4 linked regions of the Drosophila melanogaster genome follow. The protein of the gene in region 1 interacts with the protein of each later gene in a pairwise test. Each region holds a gene or a part of one and is shown in the gene's direction. Other genes may lie near its edges.

Evidence for each region.
Region 2: the proteins of Nek2 (region 1) and ana1 interact in a two-hybrid assay, tested with the Drosophila melanogaster proteins (one study listed by BioGRID).
Region 3: the proteins of Nek2 (region 1) and Plp interact in a two-hybrid assay, tested with the Drosophila melanogaster proteins (one study listed by BioGRID).
Region 4: the proteins of Nek2 (region 1) and Cep135 interact in a two-hybrid assay, tested with the Drosophila melanogaster proteins (one study listed by BioGRID).

Annotation. Positions count from the first base shown.
Region 1 is NC_004354.4:7,888,554-7,893,414, reverse strand, and holds Nek2 (Nek2), read left to right. Parts: upstream 1-1,768; 5' UTR 1,769-1,915; coding exon 1,916-4,123; 3' UTR 4,124-4,349; downstream 4,350-4,861. Other genes in the region: CG45089 (uncharacterized protein), read left to right, coding at 1-93; ND-MNLL (NADH dehydrogenase (ubiquinone) MNLL subunit), read left to right, coding at 115-285; Acat1 (Acetyl-CoA acetyltransferase 1), read left to right, coding at 4,745-4,861.
Region 2 is NT_033777.3:24,528,791-24,536,620, forward strand, and holds ana1 (anastral spindle 1), read left to right. Parts: upstream 1-1,785; 5' UTR 1,786-1,995; coding exon 1,996-2,124; intron 2,125-2,201; coding exon 2,202-3,811; intron 3,812-3,888; coding exon 3,889-4,012; intron 4,013-4,068; coding exon 4,069-7,395; 3' UTR 7,396-7,605; downstream 7,606-7,830. Other genes in the region: CG6607 (uncharacterized protein), read left to right, coding at 1-138, 192-713, 773-862; CG13623 (uncharacterized protein), read right to left, coding at 1,031-1,406, 1,468-1,511.
Region 3 is NT_037436.4:15,087,184-15,092,070, reverse strand, and holds the start of Plp (Pericentrin-like protein), read left to right. Parts: upstream 1-1,877; 5' UTR 1,878-2,252; coding exon 2,253-2,279; intron 2,280-3,517; exon of another isoform or gene 3,518-3,745; coding exon of another isoform or gene 3,746-3,760; intron 3,761-4,887. Other genes in the region: sstn (stepping stone), read left to right, coding at 1-717.
Region 4 is NT_037436.4:15,114,908-15,119,748, forward strand, and holds the start of Cep135 (centrosomal protein 135kDa), read left to right. Parts: upstream 1-1,829; 5' UTR 1,830-1,953; coding exon 1,954-2,052; intron 2,053-2,113; coding exon 2,114-2,188; intron 2,189-2,566; coding exon 2,567-2,693; intron 2,694-2,753; coding exon 2,754-2,906; intron 2,907-3,003; coding exon 3,004-4,399; intron 4,400-4,467; coding exon 4,468-4,678; intron 4,679-4,740; coding exon 4,741-4,841. Other genes in the region: CG13458 (uncharacterized protein), read left to right, coding at 1-60, 132-539, 600-876, 937-1,043, 1,101-1,396.

The DNA of each region.
Region 1 (4,861 bases):
GGATCGATTTACGCAGATTGGTCGCACACCCGCCAGTGGAAACGCCAGCAGCTCCAGTTGGCACACCGAGCCCAGCTGAAGGATCAGCGCTAAGAGGATACACAAATATACACCATGGTCTTGGGACTGGATAAGCGAGCACTGTGGGGCGCGTTGCCCCTGCTGGGATTTGCCATTGGCCACTTCCTGGACAAGAAGGAAACGGAACGTATGACCATGTTCCGGGACAAGAGTGCCCTATACGGCCGTCCCGCCGGCAGCGAGGGTAAGGCGCCATCCTGGTAGGCCTGCCCAACATCGCCATCCCAAAATATTATTTTTTTTCCCCCAATTCACTGTTATTCAATAAACCGGAGAAATGTGAAATACGCCTGTCGTCTAGTTTACCTGCATGGCCAGCGGACGAGATTTGCGGTCGGGAACGTGATTTATTTGTGAAGGATTGCGTACCATTGTTTGTTTTACTCAGGAAAAACATAAAAACCTCAACACACGTCTAACGATAAGCCGAAAACCAATGAAAAATCCAAGGAGATAACTCGTTTTTCGAAGGATTTTACCTGGGCATCGCTGCACGATATGCGAGTTCTGCTTAGTTCGGATCAGGGGCGTAGGCTGGATATTTTAGAAGAGCATTGGTGTATTCTACCAAAACTCTTATTATTTATTGTAGAACTTCTTGAGCATGTCACATAAATCACTTGAAATGTGGTAACCGAGAGTAGTCTTTTTAAATGAGTTTCGTTAAATGGCATTGAATTATCTAATACATGTGAATCGAGATTTTTAAGAATTAATAGAAAAAAAAAACTTTTATAAGCATGAGCCCCCTAAAAACTTTCATTTGCACGACCATGCCTATATGTACTATGTAACTGCTTCCAGTAAAAACCGTTAGACAGAATGGATAATCGCTCACTTCAAATATGAAATATGAAATCCGATAAGGACATTTCCACTTTAACAAACAAGGCAGCAAATTGAAATGCCAATGGAACAAAACTAATTTATTTTTATGGCTCAGGGCTAGGGGTTTGTACTCGGTTTTGGATTCCGGTTTAAGATCGGTTTTGGGCTCGAGTTCCAAAATTGAGCGTGATGAATCGCTGGAATTGTGTTCTTGGGCGTGCTGCCCCTCTCTAGACCATTGTTTCCAATGGTCAGTAGTTTGTACACAGGCGCAGTGGGATCAAATGGAACGGATTTTCCAGATTTTCGCCTTTCAAGGGCTTTCTCTCTCTCACAGCGGGGGAGAGCGTGAGCGAGAGGGTGAGATGCCAGAGATTTGCAAGTGGATACCGTTGAACTGTGGTTGGGAGCGAGAGGGTAATAGCACGATCTTTGTTCCTGGAAGGAAACGAGAGATCCAGACGTGCAACAATAACATAACAGTGCTGGTGTCTCTCGGCGGGAAAATAGCCAAATTGGGCATTAGCATGCAGGTGCGAAAGGGTTTTATGGAGAGGTTATTTATATGAAGGTCAGGTTGAAATGACTGCTATCAATTTTAATCGGTAGTTGTCTTGTATATTGGTTTTTAAATAGTTTTGTATTTTAATCCATATTACAATTTCTTAATTTAATGATGAAATAGCTATTTGTTTATGTATGTAATTATATCATTAGATTGCATATTTGCAAAATGTATTTTGTAAAAATTACAAATCTAGCTTGTTTTTAGAATATTCATTCTTCCGCCCTATTTAGCGGGGTAGCGGCACTACTTAAACCTCTCTCTCGCGCACTTGTTGTTGCTCTCTCTCCCGTTCTTGCAGGTAGCAATGAGAATTCCAGAAATCCTGCATCCCAAAAACCAGTCTCAAATCGTGTTTGGGTTTTGTAGCAAGCGGATCATTTGTAATCGGCGGCGGAATACCCAAAATACCCAAAGAGTAAAAAAAAGACTTAAGGCAAAATGAGCGGAGAGGAATCTGCCGGCATGGACTTTTCGCAAAAGACCCTGCAGGATTACGAGGTTTTGGCCGTGATGGGGAATGGATCCTTCGGCACCTGCTACAAGGTGCGCGACAAAAGCACCGGTGAATTGTTCGCCTGGAAGGGAATGAACTACGATGAACTGGACGAGGCCAAGTGCGACGCTTTGGTTTCGGAAATCAGTGTTCTGCGGCAGCTCCAGCATCCTAACATTGTGCAATACTACCATCATCTGGTGAACCGAGAGGCCAAGTCGGTGTACATTGTTATGGAGTGCTGTGCCGGCGGCGATCTCGCCCAGATTGTCCAGCGAGCGAGATCCCAGAGGCAGCGGTTTGAGGAGCCCTACATCTGGCGGGTGCTCTTCCAACTTTGCCGGGCGCTTCAGGTGTGCCACAACAAAATCCCCAACGGAACCATCTTGCATCGCGATATCAAGCCAGCAAATATTTTCCTGGATGCGGCCGGGAATGCCAAACTGGGAGATTTCGGTCTGGCCAGAATGCTGCGACGAGATCAGAGCTTTGCCGCCTCCTTTGTGGGCACTCCGCACTACATGAGTCCGGAGTTGGTGAAGGGCAGGAAATACGATCGGAAGAGCGATGTCTGGGCCGTTGGTTGTTTGGTATACGAGATGTGTGCCCTAAGACCGCCGTTTCGCGGCAGAGCCTTTGACCAGTTGTCCGAGAAGATCGCCCAGGGTGAGTTCAGTCGGATTCCGGCAATCTATAGTACTGATCTGCAGGAGATCATCGCCTTCATGCTGGCAGTGGATCATGAACAGCGTCCTGGCATCGAGGTTATCATTCGGCATCCTCTGGTGGTGCGTAATATTAGCGAGTTGGATGGCAAGTTCCCAATTCTAGTTGATTCTGGAGAGGATTTCTACACACTGCCTTCGGGTGCCAGGCTTTTCGAGGACGAAGAGGAAGATGGAGTTCATCCAGAGCTATCGAGCACCATGTTTACGGAACAGTACAGCTTCAATGAAGGCTATGGGCAAAGGAGACTCAGCGTTACTGGTGTGTTTACTCCAGATTTGCGAAGTGAACTCTTCTACTCCGCCAAGCGCAAAATCTTTCCTGCCAAGAAACTACAGCTGTCGGATCCCTCTCTTTATGAAAGTATAAGGAGAGAGGAGCGAGCGGAGGAGAGGCAGGTGGAACTGGCGGAAGAGCGGCGCCGTAAAAAGGATCAGGAGCAGCAGAAAAGGGATCAGGAGCTTCTAAAGGAGGCCCCTAGCAGTCCTCGTGCTCTTACCCAAAACATATTCGATGAAGTACTAAAGACCCGTCTCCACGCCATTCGTGCCCAAGAATCCCTGTTGCAGCAGAAGCTCGAAGAGCTGCAGACCCGGGAGCAGGAGTTACAGCTGGCCGAACAGCGCGTGCAAACGCTGGAGCGGCAGATGCAGGAAAAACTTCTTCAGCAGGAGAAACACACTTGTAGTTGCAGACAGCCGATAGCTCCGCCCATTCCTCCTAGGAAGCCAGCGAAATCGCACCATGATGACACCTACTGCACTATCGAACTCAACGAGACGTCGCCCACGGTGGCTAAACTCAATTTAGCCACACTTCCGGCACCAAAATCGCTAAATACTCTGCGTAAGGTTACCTTCAAGTCGCCCCAAAAGTTTGTTACCTATGGTATCGAGAATATGCCCCCACCGGCGGTTAAACCGGCAGTGAATCCTCCGCCCACTGGCGTTCCCATGCAAATGAGCGTATCCAGCAATGATTCCGGTGACAGCCAGGCCTCCTCCACCCGCAGGAAATCTATACTCTCGCTTTTCGGGTTGAGTCGCGGATCCAAGGCGACATCCAAATCCTTGCCATCGGTCAACCAGGTAGCCCAAGCAGCTGCAACTCGCGTGCAGCGACCTCCTTTGGCCGTCAAGCCACCGATCACGCAGGAACAGCCGGCAGAAGTTCCACCAGTGGCCAATCTCTGGACAAAGGAGCAGAAGAAACAAGCCTTCGAGCTGCTGGCGGCCATGAATGCAGCCGAGAGGGAGGCAAGCGGAGGTGGAGTCGTTGGTTCTGGACCCGGAGGAGCACGTCGCCAGCATCTGCGGCAATCGGTGAGGGAACGGAATTCCACGCTGCAGCGGAACCGCATGCGGAGGTCTTTGGTGGTGGCCACTGGCCATCAGAAGCTAACAACGCGCGACCAGATGGTGATCTGATCAAATTGATCAGGAAAGATGTGCAGTCCAGGAGCCATGGCAACCATGGAGACTATGAGCGTTGTGATGTGGAATAAGTTCCGAAATATTTACATTTTTTTTATGCAAAAATTTTTTTGAATGCCATATTTTAAACACGTATTATTAGCATTAAGATTCCAGTTTTTTCAGCTGCCATTCATTGTGCAATTTGCATTAGTCTTAAAATAAATATTGATGAAATGAGATACATTTGTGTTTAAAATTTCAATTTTCGTGTTTTTATTTATTGTTGTTCGCTTGTAACCGTTAAGTTCAATTTACGCATTTTCAGTGCTGGGTATTGTAAAAAGAATATATAAACTTAGCATTGCATCTTTACAGCGTAGTTTTCAAGCAATATACTTAAAACAGCAAAAATTAAAAATTACATTTAAAGAATGCTAACTAATAGAAAATTACCAGTCGCTTTAATCTTATTTAACAGTTGCCAACACTTTTACCGCGCCAGCTGTTGCCTATCGATAGACCGATTACCGGTTTGTTACGCAAGCAACAGGTCTGGCGTGATTTCTGATTGGATTCTTGCCATTTACCTGTGTGATTGCTGTGCTAGTTAATACAAATTAATTAAATTCCAAGATGTCCGCCCGACTGCTGCAGGCCACGCGTCGCTGGAGCGCCCATCGCAACTACAGCTCCAAAATCGCCGAAGTTGTGGTGGTTTCGGCAGCCCGCACACCAATTGGCAGCTTCCAA
Region 2 (7,830 bases), on another chromosome or scaffold:
ATAGCATCGTTGGAACAGAAGCTGGAGAAACGCATCGGCGATCAGAACGAACTGGAGAAGCGACTCAGGAAGGAGGTGGAAACGCTGCAGCACAGGAACAGCGAGCTGGAAACAAAGCTGGTTGATGCGGCCAGCATGGTAATATTGAGATCTCTCTTTAAATATTTACCCAAAGATTCGCGTGCTTTCAGCTTGGCAGCGAGGACGCACTGAGCGCCACCGGCAGCGATACTACTCCTCTACACAATCTCCAGCAGCAGTCGAATAGCAACCAACTCACCTCCGAGGATCGCATTGCGCTGCTCGAGAAGGAGGCGGCGCATTGGAGGGCTCAATTCGAAGTGGCCAAGCTGCATCAAGCATTTGTCTCGAACCCCAGCAAGGATCTCAGCACGTGCAGCTGCAGCACGGCGGCGGCGGGCGTCACCGTTCGACCGGCAGAGTCGGAGGCGAAAGGCAGCCAGCGGGCGCGGGATTCGCTGCAGGATCCCCCCGAACCGCCCACCAAGGAGCAGCTCATCTACAGTGTGTTCAGCAAGAAGTTCGAGGATCTGATGCGACTGAAAGTGCAAGCGGAATCCAAGTTGCGATCCTACGAGCTGGAGGTTCAGCACCTGCAAAACTGCCTGGAGAACGCAACGCACGAACTTAAGGCCAAGGACGATCAGTTGGCCAGTTTGGGTGGAGCCCTGCAAATGCTCGAAGAGGAGTTGGTGAGTTGTGCCTGCAGTTTTGTGCTCTTAGAACCAAGTGACATCTCGGATTTCCTTAGACTACGACGCGTATTAACTACGAGGAGCAAATCAGCGTGCTGACGGAGCAGGTCATCAGCTTGAGTGACCAGCTGGCCGCCTGCAAATGAGCATGGACAGCGGCGCGCATCCCGCCCAGCTGCTTTACTGTATATTGTTGTAAAATAACTAACTGGGAACGCCCGCTCCCCCTCTACCCTGTTTTGTTATTGTCCACCCTCGACGTGTATATAACTGAACATTCTATGTGTATTAAATAATTCTCTAAAGTTTAAAGTTTACAATTTGATTGAGAAGGAGGAGCCGCAGGAGCAGCCCTGTTCCGCCAGCGGATTGGCCACCATCCGGAAACCGGCGCGTATTAGTTCGCTATGGTAGTCCACGGTGGCGCCGCTGCAGTACTCCAGCGAGACTGTATCGATCACCACCTTGGCCTCAGCCTCGCCAAACTGTCGGTCATCCTCGTTCAGCTGCTTATCCAAATCGAATTTGTACTGAAAGCCGGAGCATCCGCCTCCTTCGACGGTCACACGCAGGAAAGATCCATCCACGCAGATCTCACGGAGCCGTTTCAAGCAGCTCTCGCTCACCTGGACACTAAGTTCGGGATTCGCGGATGTGGAAGCGGTTGCATGCCGCATTAGGATTAGATTTCTATGGAAGATCAAGCATTTATTGTGGGATTTGTCACGCAATTTTTCCTAGCTTATTTCACCTTTGCAATCCGCTCCTGGCCACTTGTCGCAGTAGGAACGCCATAATTTTACGATTTCACAGCCAAAAAATGTAATTTCAATATTTCTATTTACTATCTCGTAATCCAAACAATTTCAGCTGATTTCGCACGATAACGATAGGTGTCGATAGTTCGATACATCCCAACTGGGCCATCTAGGCTTGTGTACATGCTGTTGTGATGTTTTCGTTTTCAAACTGAGTTTATTGTCATGTAGCTTTCAAATTGCATTCATTAAATTTTATAATTTAAAAAAAAACACGTAGTTTTTCGATCATTTAATTTCCGAATTTGTATTGTGCCTTGAGTGCGTGCTACTTACCAGCTGGTATATTTTAGACGCATGTAAATTCTAGTACATTCAATTATTCATCTACGGTCACACTGCCGCTTGGGAGGAATTTTTAAAGACGTTGGGTTGTTTGATTTTACGCTCAAACTTGTTTCGATTTCTACTGCGTAAATGCTGCCCCACATACGAATTTATTACATATATCGATAGAGCAGATGGCTCTGCAGCTAACAGTAAATGGAAAGTTCGGGGCCAACCTGAGGAGGACCATAGGACCACTGGACGATCCAGAGCAAGTACGCAAAGATCTCGAAAGTGAGCGTCGCATAACCCGTTTGAAGCAGGTAACTTGTCCCTTGGGTTCCGAGCCCATTGCGCAGTAATTGTAACACAAAGCGTGACCACTTAATTTTATAACCAGGTGCGGGAGAAGTCAAACCACCTGGCACGCCAGATACGCGAGGATGTGGCTGCCGAAAAGAGGCGTCAAATCCACAAATTAGAGCAGGTCAAGCAAAGGGAGCTAAATGCGTGGCGTGAGCATGTTTTGGTCAAAAAGCACCAGGACTACCGTTCGGCCATTTTCCAGGTGGGCGCCGCCCATCGCGCCGCAAAGGAGGAGAACGAACGCATCGAGCAGCAGAGGCAAGAGAGAATCGACAAAATCCGAAGGTGTCGCAAGCAGGCCTTGAAAAGATCGGCTAAAGCCAGCGTTGAGTTGCGGACCACAAACACAATGAATTTAAATGCGGAGGGACGTGCCTCGGCGGGAACACAAACGCCCATAGTGGAGGACAAAGAAAACCGAATGGAGAGCGGGTGTAACAAACCCTGTTGCAAGGGCAAGCGCAAAAGGAAAACCAGCTGTGGATGTGCCAGCACCGATGCAGAGGATGAGAAGGAGGATGACGCATCGTCCGATGACGACTCATCCATCCTGATCATCGAGAGTCCGAGCAGCAACCGGCGTCTCCAAAAAACTACCCCCGTAATCCTAGACGTAGAAATCGAGGAAACCATTTCTGAAACCGACAAGAATCCCGAGGGTATGGATATAAATGATAGGTTCATGCAAACCAACCGGAAATTCAGCCATGTCGTGCGACCCAGTGATGATGAACCCCAACGCCGGCCGAGATTCACTCAGATCAGCGATTTGGTAAGAAAAACCGAGACCACCGTACGAGCTGGGCCAAGTCAACGAAGGGAAGCAGATCCTACTCCACCAGTATCTGCCCCGCCTAGTCCCACCAAATCCCCGCCAAGATCGCCCAGAAAATGTGTAGAGCGTGAGGAGCCCGTTCCTGCTCCAGCACCCAGAAAATCACCCACTAAAACAGCTAAAGGATCGCCGAAGAAAACTGTGACGGCACCACGTAACCAGCCATCAGTCAAAAGAACGGGTTTAAAATTAAATCCAGCTCCTGCCAAGGTGATAGATGCGGGAATACACAGAGGTCAGAAGGCCAAAGCTCCAGCTACGCTGCCCAAAGTAACAGCTATACAGAAACCAGCAGTGGAACCTCCTCGAAACCTTCCACCGATTCCAGAACAGGCTATGCCAGCTGTGCCAAATCCGTCGATGACCCATTGTTATCCCATGCCGCAGAATCAACCATACATGCATCCGTATGCTCAACTTCCGATGCAACCATATGCGATGCCATATTCAATGCCATTTCCCGTGCAAGCCCAGTTTCCACAACCTCATCCGATGTATGCACCGCAGCAAATGATGCCGAATCAGCCAGCTGTACTCGGTCCCGCTATTACTGCTCCACCGAGCACTGCTACGCAATCCACTGTGTCCACCACCACAATTACCATGTCCTCGCGACAGGACCCAAGGACGACTCAATGTGGGCGTGTTCAGTTCTATGATCATAGCAATAAGTACCATAGAACGTACGAAGCACCAACACAGTCGGTGCAGTGCAATGAGAAGGATGCCACCCAATTGACCGCTATGGATCATGCTCGCATCGAGAACCAGCTGAGGGATCTGCGGGAACAGGAACTGGACAAACTGAGGTAGTAGCCAGTAAAAGAAACAGAACACAGAACTTATCTTAATGAATCAAATTGAAATCAATAACGTATTTCAATAGGAAAATTAGTGACGATCGTGGTCAAAAGGCTCTTGAACGCGAGCAAGTGCGTCGGGATTGTGCTGAATTAACGGAAAAGCTAGATGCTCTAACGCAACAGCAACCGCAGCTCTTGCCAACCGATGTAAGGAAATCAAATATTTTTCCTCTTTAAATAATACAAACTCATTTTCCCACCAGGCTAACATTATACCTAGCCATCGGTACGCGGATGCAGCTGCCAGGCGAGAGCAAAAGATGAACGATGCAATGGAAGAAATGCTGCTTCGACCAGCCATTATCACCTGCCCGGAAGTGCGCACCAAACCTACTCCTCCAAACTTATCGCGCAGCAAATCCAAAGCTTCTGTGGCAGTTAATTTGGGCGAACCTCCTGTTCAAATCGGCCGGGATAATCTTGGCAGCTCGGAGAGCTGCAGCTCCATTCTTCTCGACTACGTTAATGATCAAAGCAAGCAACTCAAGTCGGACCTGCAGGCCGAGCAGTCAAACTCACTGAAATCGATGAGGCTAAAGAGTTTGCTTGAGCGCATTGAGAAAATTCGAGTCCAGCTGTTGGAGGAACTGAAGGCGGGTGAGTCAGGTGCATCAAAGGGTGACAATGCACAGGAATTGAATAATATACGTCAGGAGCGAGCTGATATTCTATCCGAGCGAACGAGAACTTTAAACGAACGAGAATCTGATTTGCAACAGAAGGAGGCTATTCTCGAGCAGCGTCTAAGAAAGTTCTACAAGGAGACAAAAAACGCAAAATCCAGTGAGAGTGATAAGCCAAAATCAAACGCAAAAGAAGATGGGCCAGTTGAGATCATTATTAAGGTGAGGAGTGACGGTACTGTTAAGCAATATGTACCGAGAACAAAATCGAAAGCCAAAACCAAGCCGTCGGCTATCGACAATGAAAAGGATGTGCCCCTGGGCTCAACTGACAGCACACCAAGAGACGATGAGCCAAAGCCGACGGAACAGGATCACGGAAAGCGACCATTCTTACAGGATCAGCGTCAGATATCCATTGATTCCAACTCCACTGCCTATCGCAGTCTGCCGCCAGTGAGCTATAAAAATATGACCACGGCCGCTCCCCCTTCTGCTCCATTACATCCCATGGTGGTTCAATATATAAATCGTCTGCTAGGAATGACACGCCAAAATATCGATGAGATGGGTGTGAGTTCCTCGTGTGTGACCACACCATCAACGTCGGTGATCAACTCATTGAGAAACGTAACCCCTTGTCCCGAGCCTGAAGCGGGAAGAGCTGAAAGGGATCAGGATGAAAATACGGAGATGAACGAGCATCGCATGGAGCGGGTGCAAACCTTTATTGCCGACAATCGCAGCTTAATCAATGACTTGGAAGAATCAATACGTTGCCAGCAGCAGCTGCAAAGGGAGCAACAATCGCTGGATGCAGAGAAAAGTATGCGCGCATTCGATCAAATATGGAACAAGCGTTTGGCCAAGAATCCTGAAGATTGTCAGCAAACCAACAAAGAGAAAGAGCAAACAAGAGAAAAGATGCCAAGGGAAAGGCCGACTCCACAAGGAGATAGGAAAAATGCAGCACCTCCACAGGAAAGCGGCAAAATTCGTAGAACTCAAGAAGGGGACCGGCAGCAGCAAACAAACGGTGCAGTGCAACAAAAAAGGGAGCAAAAGACTGTAAAACAAGGTTCAGGCGCCGATAAAAGCACAAACCGCTTTGCCCCCGAAAAATCGAAAGCACTATCCACCAGTGAGGAGTCATCTGCCCGAAACATGGAACGCTATGCACAGCTCACGGAGAACTGCACCCAGCGGATCGCCGAACTTACAGAGCTGATCACGAAAGTGCGCGAGGAGAAGCAGCGACTGGTGGAGGTCACCCTCACATCGAACAGCGATGGCGAGCGGCAGTCCACTGAATATCTTGAGCTTCCAACAGGACAACAGCAAACCAGATGCCGGACAATTTCCGATCGCAGCGATTCTCAAACACCTTCGACCTCGGAAGCCTTGCCGTTGCAGAAGCACAAGCCGACAGCGGCCAGCAGGGATAGTGGCATTGCGGACTCACGTCCAATTACGGCACAGGGTCAGGTTTGTATCGATGTGGAACCCATCTCGCTTGGGTCATCAACGCAGAATAATACAGCACGCGGACGAGTAAGGGCACCTCCGGCCACGATTCGTCGGTATAGTCCTCAACTAAACGCCGAGGATCTGGCGCACGAGCTGTCGACCATTACAGAAGTGGAAACGCCAGGACAATCACATATTGTGGCCGCCACACCGGTGCCCAAGCCATTCCCTAGTTTCGATCAGTATGCCAAGGAACTGCACTTAGATCTGTCGCGGTTGGATGCTGATCAGAGCCAACGGCTGCAGGGCGAATTTAATGACTTAATACTCGCGATCAGGCAACGCAATCAAGGAACTGACTACCGTGAGTTTCCTAGCATTAATGCCTATCTTCATAACATGACTAGCACCCGAATCCATGTGGAGATAGGTCAGGATGCAGATCAGGCCACTCTGTCACCGGGTGAACTGATGCGACAGCTGCGCGTGATCACTCATAGTATCCAAGACTTTCCCAAGCGCAGGGAATACTTTGAAAAACTTATGGCCAAGCAACCACCCGATCAGAGGGATCTAATAGACAGTGCTAGCTTAGAGAATGATTCCACGGATTCATTTAACGTAGAGGAAGAACTCCGCCAGCGGAAAATTCTAAAGAACTCATTTCGTCGAGGAAACGCAACTGAGACCACATTGACGGCTCAGGAGGTGGCTAGCAGTACGCGGCGGGAAAGCGTCGCCCCAGTGACCAACGATCAACCCAACGAGAGTGGCATAGATCCCCTCTCCGGCAGCAACTTTTCCAGCGACGCGGATCAGAGAAGTCCGTGCTGGCATGCCACAATGCATGAGAGGCAACAGCAGGTGGATGAGTTGTGCAGCAGTACCACAGCCTCGTCGCCAGAACGGCGGCCACGAAAGTCTCGGCTTCGTGGAGGCCACGAGCACAACAATAGGTCTAAGGACGATTCCACTGTGCAGGATGCAAGCCAGATAGGAAGATCCCTTAATCTGAGGGAATTCCTTACGAGAGAGCTCCTCAAACATCGAGTGCACGACGACGTTGCCAGTGAGAGTTCAGATGAGTCCTTAAGGGGGCACTTTCTGAAGTCGGTCCTACATTCGCTCTCGCCCAGCAACAACACGCAAACGCCAGGAGTGGGTGTAAGCCATGCCACCGGAGCAACAAACGACAGACAAAAGACATCCACACCAGTGGGATCGTTCCTCTCCATTCCAGAGAAGGCCGGGTCCATGAGTAACACCGGCTCTCAACTGTTCTCCGGGGAGAGTCGCATCTCCCTGGTTAACTATCCAGATGGAACTCCACCCATTCCTTTTGAACAACAAAGCAAACTTAGTACAAATCAAACTCGCCAATCCTCAGGTCAAATAGGATCAGGTGTCAGGACAACGCATCGAAAGTCGCCCCGAAAATGATCGCCGAACTTTTAATTCGTTTGTTTAGGTTTTAGATTATATTATCCATTTTATGACAATTATTTATATTTTACTTACTTTGCAATTTTGTGTCAAAAAATGACTATCGAAAAAGATTGTATAAAATTTACTCAATAAGTTAAATGTACAATTTTATTACCAATTTGTGTGAAACTTATTTATATTTTAATAAACCCGACGATTATTTATTAAATTTCTATCTAGAGTTTCAAGTACAATATTTCGGTTGTATGAATATAGACTTGCAGTAATGTACACAATTTATAAACAATATATATATTTGATGGTCTAACTAGTGAGTAGATTAACCCACTGATCCTTTGAGGACCTCGGTGTTTCAGTTCTGGTCCGGTACCAGAATGTAAGTAGCTTTTGTCATGTTGTAAGTAAACATCCGATTCACTGGCGGTCTAC
Region 3 (4,887 bases), on another chromosome or scaffold:
GAGAAGAAGCCCAAGCCCAAGCAGTGGCTGGAATCTTCGCTAGATGGGCCAGCTGTTATCAGGCAGATGGATTCACAGCCCCACAGTCCAGCTGGGAGTAGTAATGGGAGTAGTAATCCCGGCGCAGCTGCCATGGTTTCAAGTAAACCCCGCGCTAAGCTCTCCTCGCAGTCCATGTCGGTAGCGGGTCGTCACTATTCCATGTCCAACCAGCGACCGACTCCGAATTATCCCAGTGCCAGCTATGCGGTGAATACCAGTTCGAAAGCCCTGCTAAGTCAATCGACTTCGTATCTCAATGCAATGGAGCAAACTTTGGGGATATCGGTATCGTATCCGCTGGAACCTCTGGACATACCAGCACTGCGAAACTTACCACCCAAGCCAAGTCAAATGCAGCAGCCAACGCCGCCGCCCAGACCGCCACCCGCAAATCAGGCTCATACTCAGAACCAGAACCTAAGTCACAGTGGTAATGGCAGTTCAAGCGGACTTGCTCATGGGAATGCTGTCCAAACAGCGCTTGTGTCACCGCCAGTAACAGTGGCCACAGCCAGTTTATCGCCGGAAATTCGCATCGAGTCGCCCAAAAACATGACCGTAGTTCAGCAGGCCACTTTCCAGCCGTACAAGGAAGTGACGAAACCCTTCGAGATGTCCGATTTCTACAAATACTCCACCAAGTTTAAGCAAAAGGAGGGCGGAAATCCTAATTGACCTATAAGGTTGTACGGAATTCTCATGCACTTTCACCTTTTAATGTGATTAACTAAACTAATTTTGTAGCACTGAGAAACTACAAAGCAAAAGCAGCTCAAACTATTGGACTCCTTTCGAATTTTAAGTTCGTTAGCCAAATTATTTAGGATCAAGAAAATAACAATGCTCAAAAGATCTGCCAAATTGAAAACTGACGTATTGAAAGCAATTTATCGAACGACATTCAAATTTTGTATTGAATTTTTAAAGTACAAAAAACACAGGACAATATTATCCCCGAGGGGGACAGAAATCGCCTTACAACAGGATGCCTAGAAAATATGGAAATATTTTATATAGTTAACAGCATTTATAAACAAATAACTGACTAGCTAACTAATAAGTGTATAAAGGATATTTACCCTAATCGAATGATATTTTTATATGAATATACCGATTGGATACTGATATATTCACCGAGTTTTCTTAAGACTAACTACCGACAAGCAATAACAAATAGATAAAAATAAATATTTTATATTAAAATATATGCGAGTGCGTTTTTATTGATATTTAAGCATTCAAATATTTCGTTGAACTTCCAATATTTTTCTCAAAACATTATTAATGCTCTTGTAGCATTTCAGATTTTTTGAATAATTGAAATGAAAAGAAAGCTTTATATTTCCCTAGCCTATAAATAAATGTCTCATTTATACCCATAAATGTGTTCTCACTTCCTTAAATCATTCCTTATCGAATATATCTTGTAGTTCCTTAATCTCTGGTTAAAACTTATTTATAGAACAACCGATAAAACTTAATTACTTTCCTCCCCTTTATCTCTCGGATTTCTCTTTGTTTCTCTCGCGATCTGGTAGTAGTACATTGAATTCTCTCTTTTGGACTCTCCCCAACTCAATGCCACTGCAACAAATTTTGTTTACGATTGATTATTTTTAAACAATCTCTTGTTGTGCTTCACTGAGCATTACAGTATCTGGATGGGGAGAAAAAGAGCGTGGATATCCCCCGATACCCCAAAAATATAAAGACTCTTCGCAATGGATTTGGTTCTCAGTTGCATCGCGCTCGCTATTACGTGCAACTGTTTCAGATCGGTTGCACTATTGGTTTTTTTTTGTTTTTAAGTTTCAAATTTGTCGGTTCTTTCTCCCTCGAGGAGCATTGAAAATCACATAATGATAAATTAAGAGTTCACGCTTTAAGTAGCTAGTTTCCCCCATTGTGTTGTCTTCGTGTTAAACTTTAAATTAAAAAAATATCAAATTTTACGTAAAGTCTCCAACCTAACCTACAAAATTATTCGGTTCGTTGCATTCGTCTGTGTTTGTAAGCAAGTCAACCCGAAAAAATTCTAAAATATAGTGTCATCAAAACCACTACGTAAAAACATCAACAAGAAAATGGATCGCATTTGGGCCACATCTAGAATGCCTATAGATATAGCCAACTGACAGGCGCAAGTGTCAACAAAGGCGGCCAAAAAACAGGGAATAGGCCATAAATTATTTGGTTCAAGTGCAGTCACCATGAATCTGTACACTATATACGATTGGGTAAGCCAAACAATCAGGGGTATCCATTAAAGTATTAACCCATTTGGGAGCCGAACATCCATCATCTGTGCTCTCGGATTGTGCATAAAATCCACAAAATGTGGGTTGAATGCGCCTTGATATGTGTGTTTTCAATTCATTACGATCCACAAACAGAACATGTTGTTTTTCAAGTGTGTTTACAAATGAAATCGAAATTGAATGCGCCTTTGAACTTTCGATTAGAAGACCACAAGGCCCTTCCGAAATCTGTAAACAATCTACAGTGAAAAATACCCAACGGATTAGGAATTTTAAATAATATTTTATTTTTTAAATAAGTATTATATTTTATATCATTGAATAGCATACTTTTTATTATTATAGAGCAACTTTTTAAGTGAAAATTATAATTGAATTGTCCACATTATGCGGTTTTAATTGCTTTGTTAAATAACTAATACATTTATTAGTGAATCTTGGCTACTGTTTCCCTGTTTATTATAAACATCAATATTCATATTTTTGAAAAAATGTCTCGCTACAATAACCGATTCGCTTATCGATTTTGTTGAGGAAAGAATGTTTCTGCAACTTGTTGCTGAATAAATCTAATACATGTACCGCAATACGATGAAAATTTTTGGATAATGTATACGAAAATGATCAAAAATTTTTAATATTCATCGAAATGATTAATGGCTCGAATTTCTTATATTAAATTGTTATTGTATACAAATTTTAAAATAAAATTTGAACTTCAAGTTTTTAAACTTAACTTAAAATGTTTTATGATGATTATAGAATAATTATAAATTACTAACTATAAAAAATGAAATATAACAGTTTTTGAGGGACATTAATTCTGATTATAATACTAATTCTAAGTACTTATATATATAGCTACTTCAGTATCAATCGCAATCGCGAATCGTAAAACAATAGTTCTAAATGCTTTTAAAACTACTCTTTTGCATTTATCACCATCTTCCAAACAAATTTATGTTCCACACACACATTTTGTTTATAAATAAAAAATGGGAGCGAACATTCGGTGCACGGAACCGCTTGGAACCGCGTTGCAAATTTCCGCGGCACTCGCTCTCAATCGCTCGGCCTCTCCCGTGGCTGCTCTTTTCCAACGCTTTTCTTTTGATTTTCCTCGGATTGAGTGACTGATTTCAATTGAATGTCTCTTCGGGCGTTTTATTTATAAAAGAACCTGCACTGCAGGCGGTCGCGTCGTCGTTTTTCGGTTTTCCGCACATTTATAGCTCTATAAAGATAAGAGTGCAGTGTCAGTGCCTGTGATCCCATAAAATTGTTTAAAAAAATCTACGAAACATTTGCATATACGTAGAAGTTTGCACAATGTAACCCTCAATAGCCATTGTCGATATATGGACTTTTTAAGTGATTGTAAATTGCATTTAATTGAGATAACTTCTTCATCGCTGAATTGAATCGAATGAGTGGCGGGCAGCGAAATGGGGAAATTGCATGTGAGTTCAGTTATTGTCCGCAATGTGATCTTTAGCATCGCCCAGTGACATTTGCATCACTCGCCAGCCAAAGTGTGTTAATATCATTCGAAACCGCATGATAATGAACCAAATTAGTGGATTTTTTTTGCATTGCAGTGTACTTAGAGAAAATTATACAGTATTTACCATATTTTCTATAAATTTAGTTACGATACGATCTCATTCTTAATTGTTCTTGAATATTATTTATTAGAATTACTATTTGAAAGAATAATGCTGTAAAAGATTTGGTTTGTAAATCAAATAAAATGCGGGTATAGGATATAAAGCAATTCATCATCTACTTCACAATCATATAAATTGTGTGTTCATATGTAAATTTTTATATAAAATATGAAAATGTTAAATGCAAGCGTTTAAGAATTTATATTAAACTAAACCCTTTAAATGAAATAACCTTTCTTCATAGCAACGCAAAAGAAAATCCTTTCTCCAATCCGAATTTATTTTTGTCCAACATATTTCACTGTCAATTCTGCGCCAGGCAAAGCTATTAATTTAATCATTTTCGCCAATATGCGTGCCATTATTGAGGGTTTATCGACAATATCTTGTGGAAAATCAAAGGAAAGGCGTCAGCGCCATTAACAGAGACGTTGGGCTAGGTCCTTCGCCCCTTTTCCCGTTCCAAAGGGGAGTGGCATTGTTGTTATTAGTCGCCGAAGTGCAAAAACCTCAGACGATCCAACTGAAATGTGTGTCACACCCAAACAACGGCCCACAAAAGAGGTCCAAACTATAGCAACAAATTGAAATGTTTGCAAGGAATGTAAAAGACTTTCGTTTTCGTTTTTCACGCACACTCAAAGAAAATCCGTTGTCATGGTTATAGGTGCAAACTTGTTATCCCGATATCCTTATCGCTGTGCTGGTACTTCCTGAATGTGTTGTTGTTGTCTTTGTCCTGACAAGTTCAAGGACGTTCAAACCACCATGTGGCCGGGAATTGGATAACTTTTTCACAAGCATTTTCCGCTAATATTGTGAAAACTTTGTCAAGCGTTACGGCCTGACCCACATGGCGTATGTGTAATATGGAAAATATATTTTTCAGTCGTTCAAAATACAGTACGGACTTGAATTGT
Region 4 (4,841 bases), on another chromosome or scaffold:
AAGACGACCAGGAGCACCGCCAGCTGTGCTACGCCCTGCGCCAGACGGTGGACCGCAATGGTGAGTGTCTTTCGGCGATTCACAAATTCATAAATCACACTAATTGCCAATTTTGGATGGGGCGGATGCAGGTCACGAGATGTTCTACAAGTGCGGCGACTTCAGTGACGAACAGTTCCGTTCCTTCCGGATCGTGTGCATTCGCCAGGTGGAGAAGGAGATGAATCGTCAGCTCAGCGCAACGGAGAGAGAGTTGCTCCTATTTCCACTGATCTGCGCCGACTCAAAGTGCCGGGAGCATCGCTTTAAACGTCTATCCATGTGCGGTGGATGTGGCGAGGTGGCTTTCTGCAAGGATAAGCCGGAGCACCGAGGCAAGGAGCACGCCAAGTGGTGTGGAGCCTATCAGATTTTCAAGGCCTTCATCATGTTTCAGGAACAGTTCGGCCGCATGGAGCCATCACTGCCCAGTAAGATTCTTAGAGAGCTGCCCATGGCTTGCTCCAACACCAAGCAGATGATGAAGAAGCTAAGCTTTAGTAAGTAAACACGAAGTATTCAAGGATTTTATTATAATGTATTATTATACTGATTTAAAGATGTTACCAATGAGTGTGAGTACGCAGCACTTACCCAGGTGTCCACTGGCCCATTAACTGCCTGGTTTGCCTTGAAACTTTGCGAGCGCCTCAGAAACTGCGAGGAGATGACTCTTCACTTAATTGGAGCCGAGATCGAATTTGAGGCGGATATGCTGCAGAAATGGGAACTCTTCCTGCTCCACATAACGCCAGCGGTGAAAACTCTGAATGTGGTCTTTGTTGGACCTGAACTTAATCCTAATAATATATCCTTTGAACAGCTAAAGAAAATCAAGTGAGTTACACTTTTAGTTAGTAGTTTAAACATTAGTCTAAAGATTATCAATCTATTTAGATGCTGCCGTTTCTGCAGAAAAGCCCAGAGAACGGTTAACTATCATTTTGAGAATAGTTTATATCACGATTACTGCAGAGAATCGCACTTTCTTCAGCCGAATTTGAGTAAGTTAACACTCATTTAAGCGAAACTAATAATAATTATTATACATAAATTCATAGTTTGCTTCTTTAACTGCGGTCTGTACCGATCAACTGGTTTCGCTCTGGAGGATACTTGGCCAGATACCATTCAAGCTGCACTCAATCTCAACTGCCCCATCGTAGTTACTTCCTATACAAAATACGAGGCCCCTTTGGATATGATTCAATTTATTAACCAATCGAATCGACACTTAAATGTCGTAATGCCGCCAACTGTAAATCCGTTTTCCTCGGAAAAGCCAGAACGTAATTTTATATCAGATAATGAAGCGTCTTTTATGTTTAAGAACTTTTACTGTTTTGTTGTTGATTAATCGCAGTCCACACCTTAGTTTTTTTTTAATAAAAAGACAAATATCGAACAATTCTGATTTGGACAAGGTCAATTATTTAGTAAAGCCTGGTACAATTCTAAAAGTTTAAAAAATTTGTATTATAATTTGGTTTTTTAGACATAGCCATAGACACATGAACAATAATAAAATTATTATATTGAAATATTCGGTAACTTCTTTTCGGTTGCAGTACATACCTGGTAAAATCTATGAATTTTCATAAAAAATATAAAATTTTGTTCAGCTTTTATATTTTATTTTGAATGTAACGTTTTTTCTGGGCAATCGATGTTATTTTTCATACTGATTTCGATACATTTGCGTTCGATAATAAAATACTAAAACAAATTTTCGATTGATTTCCTTGCTGAGGTGTGATGGTCACTTTCGATAACCGATATATTTAAGGAAATATCGGTTGAAGTCCGGTTTTGTTTTGATTTGATTGAATAGCATTGTTTTCATTGCGCATTTTCTGAAATTTAGGGCATTTAGGAGAAAACTTGTGATTTTTTTGCTGTTATTAGTGTTTTCCCATGAATATCAACGATGGTGACTTTAAAGACCTCCGCTGCAAACTGGACATCATGGGTTTCACACAGACGCTGCCCGTTTTGGCCATTCCACTGGTTCAGGTAATATTCATACCCTGTAATATTAATTTTTTGGCATAATCCTGTACCTTTTACATTGCAGGCTGTTTTCGGGGACCTAATCAAGACCACAGAATGTTTGAGGGATACCAAGAAAAAGGTGGCCGAGCTGCTGGAGGTGGGTATACCAGTAGAGAGTACAAGACCTTTGGGTTTTCTCGATTATATATGTGTAACTATAATATTATCACAATTTCTTACTGAAGAGATTCAGGTTGGTGCTGTTAAGATAAAAAAGAATTTGTCAATCTAAATATGATTATAATTGTGAGGATCCCATGAGAAACTTCTTTTCAGTATTCTTATTCTATATACGCCAAATATGCTTCATTTTTAAGGGCAGACTATACAATTCAATTGAATCCCTAAAATTAAGCGTGAAATACTTGCAAGGATATTTACACGTTAGCTTTTTAAGCCCACGTTCTTTCTTATATGTTGTGGTTTTTCAATTGGTTGCTAAGCAATCCTTCTGTTGTGGCTTTCCTTTCGGCAGGAAAAGACCTGTTGGGAGCTGGGCGTCGAACCCTACAAGTGTGACAACTCTCGCCTGCTGGCCGAGTGCAATGAACTGCATCTCCAGTTTTTGAGGGACAGGGAGGACTACGAGCTGCGCCTGTGTGGTATGTTGTAATCGATTTTAATTTGATTTTTAACTCTATTGCTGCCTTAAACTTTTTCAGAGTCCGAGCGAAAGATCCGAAATCTGGAGTTGGACAAGCAGCATTTGCAGAGTCACAACGATGGACTTCAAAGGCAACTGGACGCTTTGCTTACCAAGCAAATGGTTTCATCAGTCACGAACAAAAAGGCGACAGCTGGCATTGGACGTCAGAGTAGGTCTAAGAAAGATATTTAACTAGAATTGGATCTCCCTGAGATACTATCTCTATCTGATTCACGTTGGTTTTATTAAAATGTTCTGCTTTCCAGCCAAAAAACCCTTTATAACCACAGTGCGTTCGGGCATTGCGATGCCAACTACACTGGGCACTAGCAGCAGTGCTCTTAAATGCACAAAATGCAATGCTGGGGTATTCCAGAAGACCACCACAACGACCAAAGACGGTGTGACAGTGACGCAAACCAGTGGACAGGAGGAGTTAGACAAGATGCAGAATGATCTTACGGCAGCCGGAGAACAACTGGAGTTCTTCAAGCGCAAAGTGGAGGCCAGAAATCGGGAGATTCGCCGCTTAAACGACATGCTAGCAGGAGGGCGTCCTTTAGCGGCTTTGGCCAAGGATTGCTGTTACAAGGACGTGGGCGCCCTCTCCCAGGACATCGATCTGTTGCAACGCGAGAAGAGCGATTTAATGATGCAAGTTCGAGAATTCCAGGACAAGATGCACGATGCTATGCAGCGGGCTCTAAGCTCCGAAGAGGATAAAATAAAGCTCCAAACGCAGCTGGAGGAGCTCAAGGAAGCTGCGTTGCAAGTGGAACAGCAGGCCAATGCGGAAATCGATGCCAAGGAATCGGAACTTAGGCAACTGCAGTTGGAGCTTAAGAAGAAGGGAAAGGATCACCGACTGACCGGTGGCTTTGCTTCCAATCAAAGTGACAAGCATAATCTTAATGAACGCTTAAATCTTTTGACTCGTCGTGAAGAGGAACTACAGGCCACAAATGAAAAGCATAAGAAGAAAATTCAGAAAATGCAAGCAAAGATATTAGAACTGCAGAAGGAGCTCAAAGATCAGAATAAACATTCCAACGTCACCCTGGATGAAGAGAAAATACGCCTGTCATCAGAGCGGGACTTCTTCCAGAAGGAGTATCTGCGTCTGATGAGCAAGACCGGATCCGAGTCGGAGATCGCCTTCTTGCATGCCCAAATTAAATCTAAGGACGAGGAGTTAAAGGCCCTGCGATCTGAACTGTTTCATGGAGGAAAGCAGCAATTTTCCCCACAAAAAAGTGTGCAGTATGAGACACTGCCGCCCCCCACAGCTTCATCCATTACCTCCACCGTTACTAGCAATACGAGTGACTGCGTCCAGGCGGCCATTGCAAGGGTGGAGCGGGAACGGGATTGCGCCAGGACCGAGCTAGAAAGGGTTCGTTGCGAGCGGGATACGCTGAGGGAGAAGCAACTGAGCACTGTTCAACTTCATGCCGATGAGCTACAGGCTCTGCGCCTGCGAAACGAAGAGCTTAACGATCGCCTGCGGCAAATGGAACGCGATAATCGGGAACTTAACTCGGCTCGTCTGCCAACTGAAACGAATCTGGTGCTGCTTAAGGAGGACTTGTTGCAAATGAGGCAGCGTGTGGCATCTATGCAAACCGAAATTGACCAACTAAAGACCGAAAATGATCAAATAACGTTAGTAACAATGGAATTGCTGCTAAGCTTTCATATCGTTTATAAATTTGTTATTTATTTATTGGCAGCATGCTCAACGATCAAAACGAGCGCATCATAGCGGATTATCAGAGTAAACTTTTGGTGGCCGAGCGTCAACGACAGTCGGCGGATGTTCGGGCCAGCACCTTGGACTCCAGTCGGGAATCCAATCGCAGCGAGGTTACCCAACTCCGCATGGACTTAGGAGCTCTGCGGCAGACCTATATATCGTTAGAACACGAGAAGGATACGCTTCTGGTAACTTCATTTAATAATATATTTTCTAGAGATATTAACAATATTGTTATTTGCTTCACTAGCATCAATTGGATACCAAAACTGAGCGGGTATACAAACTGGAGTATGAGCTAAAGGATTGCAAAGAAAAACGGAATGCCCTAGAGCAGAATGTGAAGGACCT